Mytilus edulis: one gene and its partner. The protein of the gene in region 1 interacts with the protein of each later gene in a biochemical or structural test. Links are inferred from orthologs where the notes say so. Each region holds a gene or a part of one and is shown on either strand. Other genes may lie near its edges. The genes, in order: E3 SUMO-protein ligase RanBP2-like and ran GTPase-activating protein 1-like.

The links.
Region 2: the proteins of E3 SUMO-protein ligase RanBP2-like (region 1) and ran GTPase-activating protein 1-like form a complex in vitro, tested with the Homo sapiens proteins (5 studies listed by BioGRID and IntAct, with this or other methods). The link is inferred for Mytilus edulis from reciprocal best matches to the Homo sapiens genes RANBP2 and RANGAP1.

The regions. Positions count from the first base shown.
Region 1 is NC_092348.1:12,672,162-12,676,106, forward strand, and holds the start of E3 SUMO-protein ligase RanBP2-like, read right to left. Parts: upstream 2,302-3,945; 5' UTR 2,237-2,301; coding exon 2,177-2,236; intron 1-2,176. UniProt on the Homo sapiens protein: E3 SUMO-protein ligase which facilitates SUMO1 and SUMO2 conjugation by UBE2I. Involved in transport factor (Ran-GTP, karyopherin)-mediated protein import via the F-G repeat-containing domain which acts as a docking site for substrates.
Region 2 is NC_092351.1:73,540,198-73,544,142, forward strand, and holds the start of ran GTPase-activating protein 1-like, read left to right. Parts: upstream 1-1,226; 5' UTR 1,227-1,317; coding exon 1,318-1,432; intron 1,433-3,945. UniProt on the Homo sapiens protein: GTPase activator for RAN. Converts cytoplasmic GTP-bound RAN to GDP-bound RAN, which is essential for RAN-mediated nuclear import and export. Mediates dissociation of cargo from nuclear export complexes containing XPO1, RAN and RANBP2 after nuclear export.

The DNA of each region.
Region 1 (3,945 bases):
ATAAGTATCAATTAAAGGCATTTCAATTACTATGGAGTATGGATTTTCCCCATTGTTGAAGGTGCTATGATAAATTGCTCAATAAATATTGAAACCATGAATTAAAAAATGCAATCACATACATTTTTTCTTTCATTATAGAGGTCTGTTCCTTAATACTGTTTAGTTGAAACGGTTTTGTTATTTAATATAAGCCAGATCTCCAATTATATACTTATAAACGAATGAGAGCTGTGTGGAATTTATGGATTAATGAATAAGTAAAAATAATATTGTATTTTTTTTTTACAACATTGACTACACATGAGAGTGTTGCAAATACGATAATACTATAAATATCAACAATAGTGACAGATTAGCCATGCTTGACTTCAACCGGAATATATAAAATACAAGATGTGGTATTATTGCCACGGTGATATATACACCAGACCCCACAATGTCACAGCTATATTCATTCACAACTGTAGGTTACTTTTTTTTCTCTTGATAAACAACTGTAGGTTACTATAGAGCCTTTAGTTTTCGCAGTAGTGTAGTGTTTAAAAATCTTAACTCTATATAAAAACATCAAATGTTCCAAAAATTGGTGAGTCAAAAATTTATATATTTCAAAAAAGACAAAAAATAACCAAATGTTGATAAATATTTTCTTGAACCTAATTGTAAATACTACTTTTTATTAATTGTTGTGTAATTTATCATAATTAAATATTAGGTTAAATAATTATTAGTATGATTGAAACAACAAGCTTATTCAAGGGAGATAACAATTGCAGTTCTGGTCCATTCTTGTGTAGATTTCGCTCACAATAAATCACAATAAATCTATTCATTCATTAATATTTACATCATGTACTATTATTATTGTTATTGTAACAATTTATTTTTTACACAAACATGTACACCCCCCTCTTTTAACGAGGATCAATCGACAGCTGTTACTTTTGATTAAATAAACACTGTCGTTATTTAAAAAAACAGATTTATATTGACATGATGTGTATTGAAGTTCACTGAATACATGTGTGGTTGAATCAGTATTTGACCCCATACTACACATTACAACCGATGGAGTCACCTAATATATCCACCCCCCTTTTTAAACAAAGCTAGTTACACACACTAGTCTATTCAAATATCTTCAATTATGCTTTCATACTAATATATTAACTGATTACATTAATAAGGTGAGTTGTTATTATATCAAATATATTTCAGCCATTTACACATAACCAAAAAAAAAAATAATGGACTATAATGTCAAGGGAGACAACTATCGACATCTTTTTGAAAAAGATTCATTTAGAGATAATTACACATTTTACTTAAAATTAATTGATATGAAATGTCTTAGATCATCATTTAGTACATGTCTTTAAAAGGTTTTTGAAGGGAGAGACGATAAACAAATTAATTTGCCTATATAATTCAACAACGTCACCGTTGATTCATTTTAACAAAAAGTAAACCTTAATAACAACACTTTGACACTTTTGTTTGTTACAAAACATATTTAAATCGTTCATATTATGCTTAAAGATTGTTACAAAAGTGTAATTTTGAGAAAGTATCGCTTGCCTACCTCAGTTTAGTGATCGGTCAAAATATTCCCTGTGGAAAGTAAAACACGTGGTATCGTAAACGGTTCAAGGCCAAATTTGTTATATAGTTATCGTTCTTGAAGAACTCTTTTGTGTACCTCCTTTGGTCTCCTGACGATGCTATCATTAGTGTTACCCCTCTTAAAGTCCAACTGAAAATATGAGTTCGGCGTTAAGACGTTGATGTACGGTGTCAAAGAAAAGAAGCATAAAAGCCTTTCATAATTATTTGGACTATTATTTACATAGCATTCAGAATATTTTAAGTTACCCCGTTTGGTCTTCTGGTTCCAACCTGATTTATTGGCAATATCAACGCCAACCATTTCTTGCCATTATAAATATTGGAGAATTGACTTCAACAGAACATTAACACAATTCATTATTTCAATCTGTATTTATTAACTTCTTGCTTGGTATCATTATTGACTATTGTACAGAACACATTGTCCTATCTCTCCCCCTTTTTTCTCAGAACTCATGTCATGACAGAAGCCACTTTCACTTTCAAATATTACTTTAAACTTCGTCCAGAGAAATTATTTTTGTGATTGAACATTCTGAAGTATTACCTCTTTTTCAGGGATATGAGATACATATCTATCGACGTCTTTTCTATTGCGTCTTGACATTTTTCATTCATTCACTTTCGTTCATGCCGGCGGATTACAAAAAACTTTAAAATATGAACCAATAAGATTACATTTTACAACTACCACCTCAATCGGACCAATCAAATTCGGTGTAATATTTTTAAGTTTGCCGCTTACTTCGTATAGTATCGGATATTTTCTTCATCAAGTCCCATAAACCCAAATACACTCGATCAAATTCCCGGGAACCACTAATGACAGGACGATTGCCCGGATAGTGACAGGACGGTTGACCGGACGACATATATATAGTCATAACTTTTTTGTTATCCGATAGATTTGTTTAATATTTGTAAACCTGAAAGATATTAAACTATATTTTATGAATATAAAAAAAAAGAGGAAAAATAATTATTTTTGAGCAAAAAAAGTTGACCGGACGGTATTCACACTCGCCAATATACGCTAAATATATATTCAACTGGTTGACGACAAGTGTTAATATCTCTTTTGTTTTACAATATTTGTCGATGAAACTCAGGAATCTGTGAGATTTATAAATATGTTATACGAAAATATAAACTTGATTGCAAAAAAACGTGTTTTTCTCAAAAAAAAGTTGACCGGACGGTATTCACCCTCGCCGATATACGCTATATATATATTGAAATGGTCGACGACAAGTGTTAATATCTCTTTTGTTTTACAATAGTTGTCGATGAAACTCAAGAATCTGTGAGATTGAATAATATATTACACGAAAATATAAACTTTAGGGTAAAAAAGAAAACAAATCTGCAAAAAAAGTTGACCGGACGGTATTCACCCTAGCCGATATACGCTATATATATTTTCAACTGGTCGACGACAAGTGTTGATATCTCTTTTGTTTTACAATATTTTATCATGAAATTCAGGAATCTGTGAGAATAATAAATATTGGATACGACAATATAAACTTTATAGTGAAAAAAAAAGTTTGTCTCCAAAAAAAGTTGACCGGACGGTGTTCACATTCGCCGATGTACGCGTTAATTATATTGAACTGATACAAATAAGTGTCAATATCTTATTTGTTTTACAATATTTTTACACGAAACTAAGAAATCTACCAGATCAATAAATACTTGATATTAAAATATAAACTTTATAGTAAATAAAAATGTTTTTCTTCAAAAAAAGATGACCGGACGGAACAAACATTCGCCGTTATATGCCTTAATATAAGTTGGTAGACCCAAGTGTTTATATCTCTTTTATTTTATCAAATTTATGAAATCTGAGAGATCAATAAGTACTTAATATGAAAATATAAACCTTATATCAAATATGTTAAATGTTGTTCTTAAAAAAAAAAGTTGATCTGAGGGAATTAACATTCGACGATATTATTATTTAAATATATTGAACTGATCAACACAAGTTTTAATATCTCTTCATTTTTATAATATATCTGTCCATGAAATGAAATAATTTGTGAGATTAGATAAATATTTTACAAGAAAAATAAACTTTAAAGTAAAAACAATGAGCCCAAAATGTTTATGTGAGCGAGTTCACCAATGCATATTAGAAGTAATGATATTTAATCAAATTAATCTAATTTTGACACTTGTTGTAATCACCAATCAAGCCAAATAACATGTCATTAAAGTTTTCACACCTGAGACATCAAATACATTTAATTGAATTACCTTATAATCAGTTGGTAATTAGTATCCAATTAAAGAAGAAATTTTATGAAGTTC
Region 2 (3,945 bases), on another chromosome or scaffold:
GCCATATAAACAAATGATACATGTTTGTGACAAACTAAAACAAACAAAAACTAACATACACTCATACATATACCGGTAATAAATAATACATATATCAATTGTTGCAAGTATAAAATATAGTGACAAGTCAAAACACAAATTACAACATATCAATATACCACAAAACTTTTAACCATGGTATATATCAAGAGTCCACTGTCCTCAGTTCTATTGACTGTTTTAAAAAGAATGACATCTTGCTGCACGAGGGGCGTAAAAAGAGGCCAAGTATTTGCACAGAATCACAAATAAAAATTTCTTGCAAGATGATTTTTTTTCCGATTTCACGAAACACTGTGAATAACGAACCTTTTGCACGGCTGCGCGTGAAATAAAAATGGTACTTGAAACACGTACGTTGCACGAAAATAACCCTTTACCATCCTCTAAAACATGTATCTGTGTCTGAGTGTTCAAATACAATCTAGAAATCTTGAATCTTGTTTCCTTTGTGTAAGGGCGATAACTCCATTGACTTTTATTATATACAAACATGTAAATATTATAGAACAAGTATATGATAATAACTAAACATGTAAAATGGAACCAATGTTCTCACATCTCAACATCCGTTATGTTTTTACCTTCTAAACTATTCAAAATGTGAAAGGGACGAGTCACAGACACAATAAACTATAAAAGACCTGTAAACAAAAACAACCTAGAATTATTGTATTTTCTGTCTCTGACAATGCAATCTAACAAAATTATTACAAAATTACTGAAAAAAATCATACAAAATTATTACAAAATTACTGAAAAAAATCATACAAAATAATTATAAAAAGTAAAAAAAAAATAACAAATTAACTGACAACTAACAAACCAAAAACCAGAAACATATATGTACCTGCACATACTTAATGTATTTAAGAAATAAACAAGGCCAAAGAAATATATACAAAATATACTGAAACCAAGGATTTGTATAGATCTAGCCATGATACAAATCCTTTAAAACTGAAACGCAACCCGGCGGTGAATACATTAGCTAAATTTATTTTTTTATATATTCGAAATCTTATGCAAAAAAACCAATAGTGGTCGTAAGAACTCATGGCACAGTACACTAGATGTATGAAAAAGTAGTTCTAGCCAATCTTAAAAACATTTTTTTTTAATGTGGCGATATTTGATTTTGGGACGAATAAAGCATTGGGCGATATATAAATATTCATGGTATTTGGTCAGACCATTGAAACGGAAGTAACAAACAGCGCCATAAACTTGAAAGCGAGAAGGCCCAACTGCCTTGATTTTACAAATATTACCCTTAAAATGTCATCAAAAGACTTGACATCAGTAACTGAACAGTTGGCAAAGACCAAAGTTAATGAAACATATGAACTAAGTTTCAAAAATAAGGGACTGAAGCTAAATAGCGCTGCTGATGGTAATCATAAATAACAACAGAACAAACAAACAAAACAAAAACAAATATAAGTTATTAAGCGCATTGTGTTGACGTAGCACCCGAATGGATATACTAAGCTAAAGGAAAGTTTCATGCTTACTCATTCACTGCAATGCTACAAACTTTGGGCCTTATTATACACCTTAATATCCAGGGTTTCCCCAGTGGCAATTTTCTTTTTCGCCACCTCGTGCCAAAAGCAGGTGGCAGTTAGGTCCGCTGCTGTATGCCCTGAGGTAATCGGTGCCCTGAGGTAATCGTGGTAATGCGTCATTGATTAAATACGCACGAAAATATAGTTCTTATTTAGATAGATCTTAATACCAAATTTTAATGTGACCAAATACCAAAGATGTCAACAAACTTCCCAAATGATTTTATTATTTGTTTTCACCGATCATTCATTTCGTATGTACGTGTAGGGTGGGGATGGCTGGTAAAATTATAAACTTTTTTTTTTTTTTTTTTATAAAAGTTCAATTAATGATCTGAAGTATTCATTCATGACAGGGTTACCTGAGGTAACCCCAATTATAACAACAAATACAACCATTAAACTCAAGTCAACTGAGGTAACTTTATATATACATCACATAAACAATACAAATCTATGAAGTCCTACATTCTATTATAAAATTAAGAAATTGTGTAATTAAAATATAAATGTATACACTAGCAAAGTATGTACTAAAAATTCTTTCATAACAGGGTAACCTGCGGTAACCCAAACAATAACAGCAAATACAACCTATTTAACTCAAGTTAATTCAGATCACCTTTACATATACATCACATAAACAATATAATTTCAATGAATTCCTACATAACAAAAGAAGAAAGTGGTTTATTACAGCATAAATGCATATACTAGCAAAGTATCTACTAAGTATTTTGTTATGACAGGGTTACCTCAGGTAACCCATAAAATAGCAACAAGTATTATCCATTGATATCAAGTTAACTAAAGTCGCTTTTCCGATATGTCACATAAACAATACACATCTATGAGGCGTACATGTAAAATAAAGAAATTGTTTGATTACAACATAAATGTTTTCGCTAGCAAACCATCTAATAAGATTCTTTATAACATGGGTACCTGAGGTAACCCCAGATATAATTACAATTATAACCCACTTAACTTAACTGAAGTAAACTGAGATCACCTTTACATGTAAATCAAATAAACAATACAACTTTCATGAAGTCCTACATTTGAAATAAAGAAGTTTGTTTATTACAATAAATGTAAACACTACCAAAGTATTACGAAGTATTCATTCACGACAGGGTTACATGAGGTAATCCCAATAATTACAATAAATACAACCTATTCAACTCAAGTTAACTCAGGTTACATTTATATAGACCTCGCATACACAATACAAATCTATGAAGTCCTACATTTTAGATTAAGAAATTGTGTCATTACAGCATAAATGCATATACCAACAAATTATCTACGAAGTATTCTTTCATAACAGGGATACCTCATGTTATTTCAAAGATAACAACAAATATAATCCATTCAAATTAAGTTGACTAAAGTCGCTTTTCCTGAATATCATATAAACAATACTTATCTATGAAGTCCAAAATGATAAAGTAAATGGTTTATTAGAAGTTAAATGTATACTCTGGAAAACTATCTACGACGTATTTTTACGTGACAGGGTTACCTCAGATAACCAAAACAATCACAACAAAGATAACCCATCTAACTCAAGTTCACTCAGGTTACCTTTAAATACATATACATCACATAAACAATACAAATCTATGAAGTCCTACATTTCAAATTAAAAAATTGTGGAATAACAATATGAATGTATACACTAGCAAAGTATCAACTTAGAATTCTTTCATAGCTGGGTTACCTGAGGTAACCGAAACAATAACAGCAAATACAACCTATTTAACTCAAGTTAATTCAGATCACCTTTACATATAAAATTGAGAATGGAAATGGGGAATGTGTCAAAGAGACAACAACCCGCCCAAATAAAAAACAACAGCAGAGGGTCACCAACAGGTCTTCAATGTAGCGAGATATTCCCGCACCCGGAGGCGTCCTTCAGCTGGCCCCTAAACAAATATATACTAGTCCAGTGATAATGAACGCCATACTAATTACATCACATAAACAATATAACTTCAAAGAATTCCTACATTAACAATTAAGAGGTTGGTTTATTACACCATAAATGCATATACTAGCAAAGTATCTACTAAATATTCTGTCATTCACGGTTACCTCAGGTAACTCATAAGATAGAAACAAGTATTATCCATTCATATCAAGTTAACTTAAGTCGCCTTTCCAATATATCACATAAACAATACCCATCTATGAAGTCCTTCATTTAAAATAAAGAAATTGTTTGATTGCAACATAAATGTTTACACTAGCAAACTATCTAAAAAGCATTCTTTATAACATGGGTACCTGAGGTAACCCCAGACATTATTACAAGTATAACCCACATAACTGA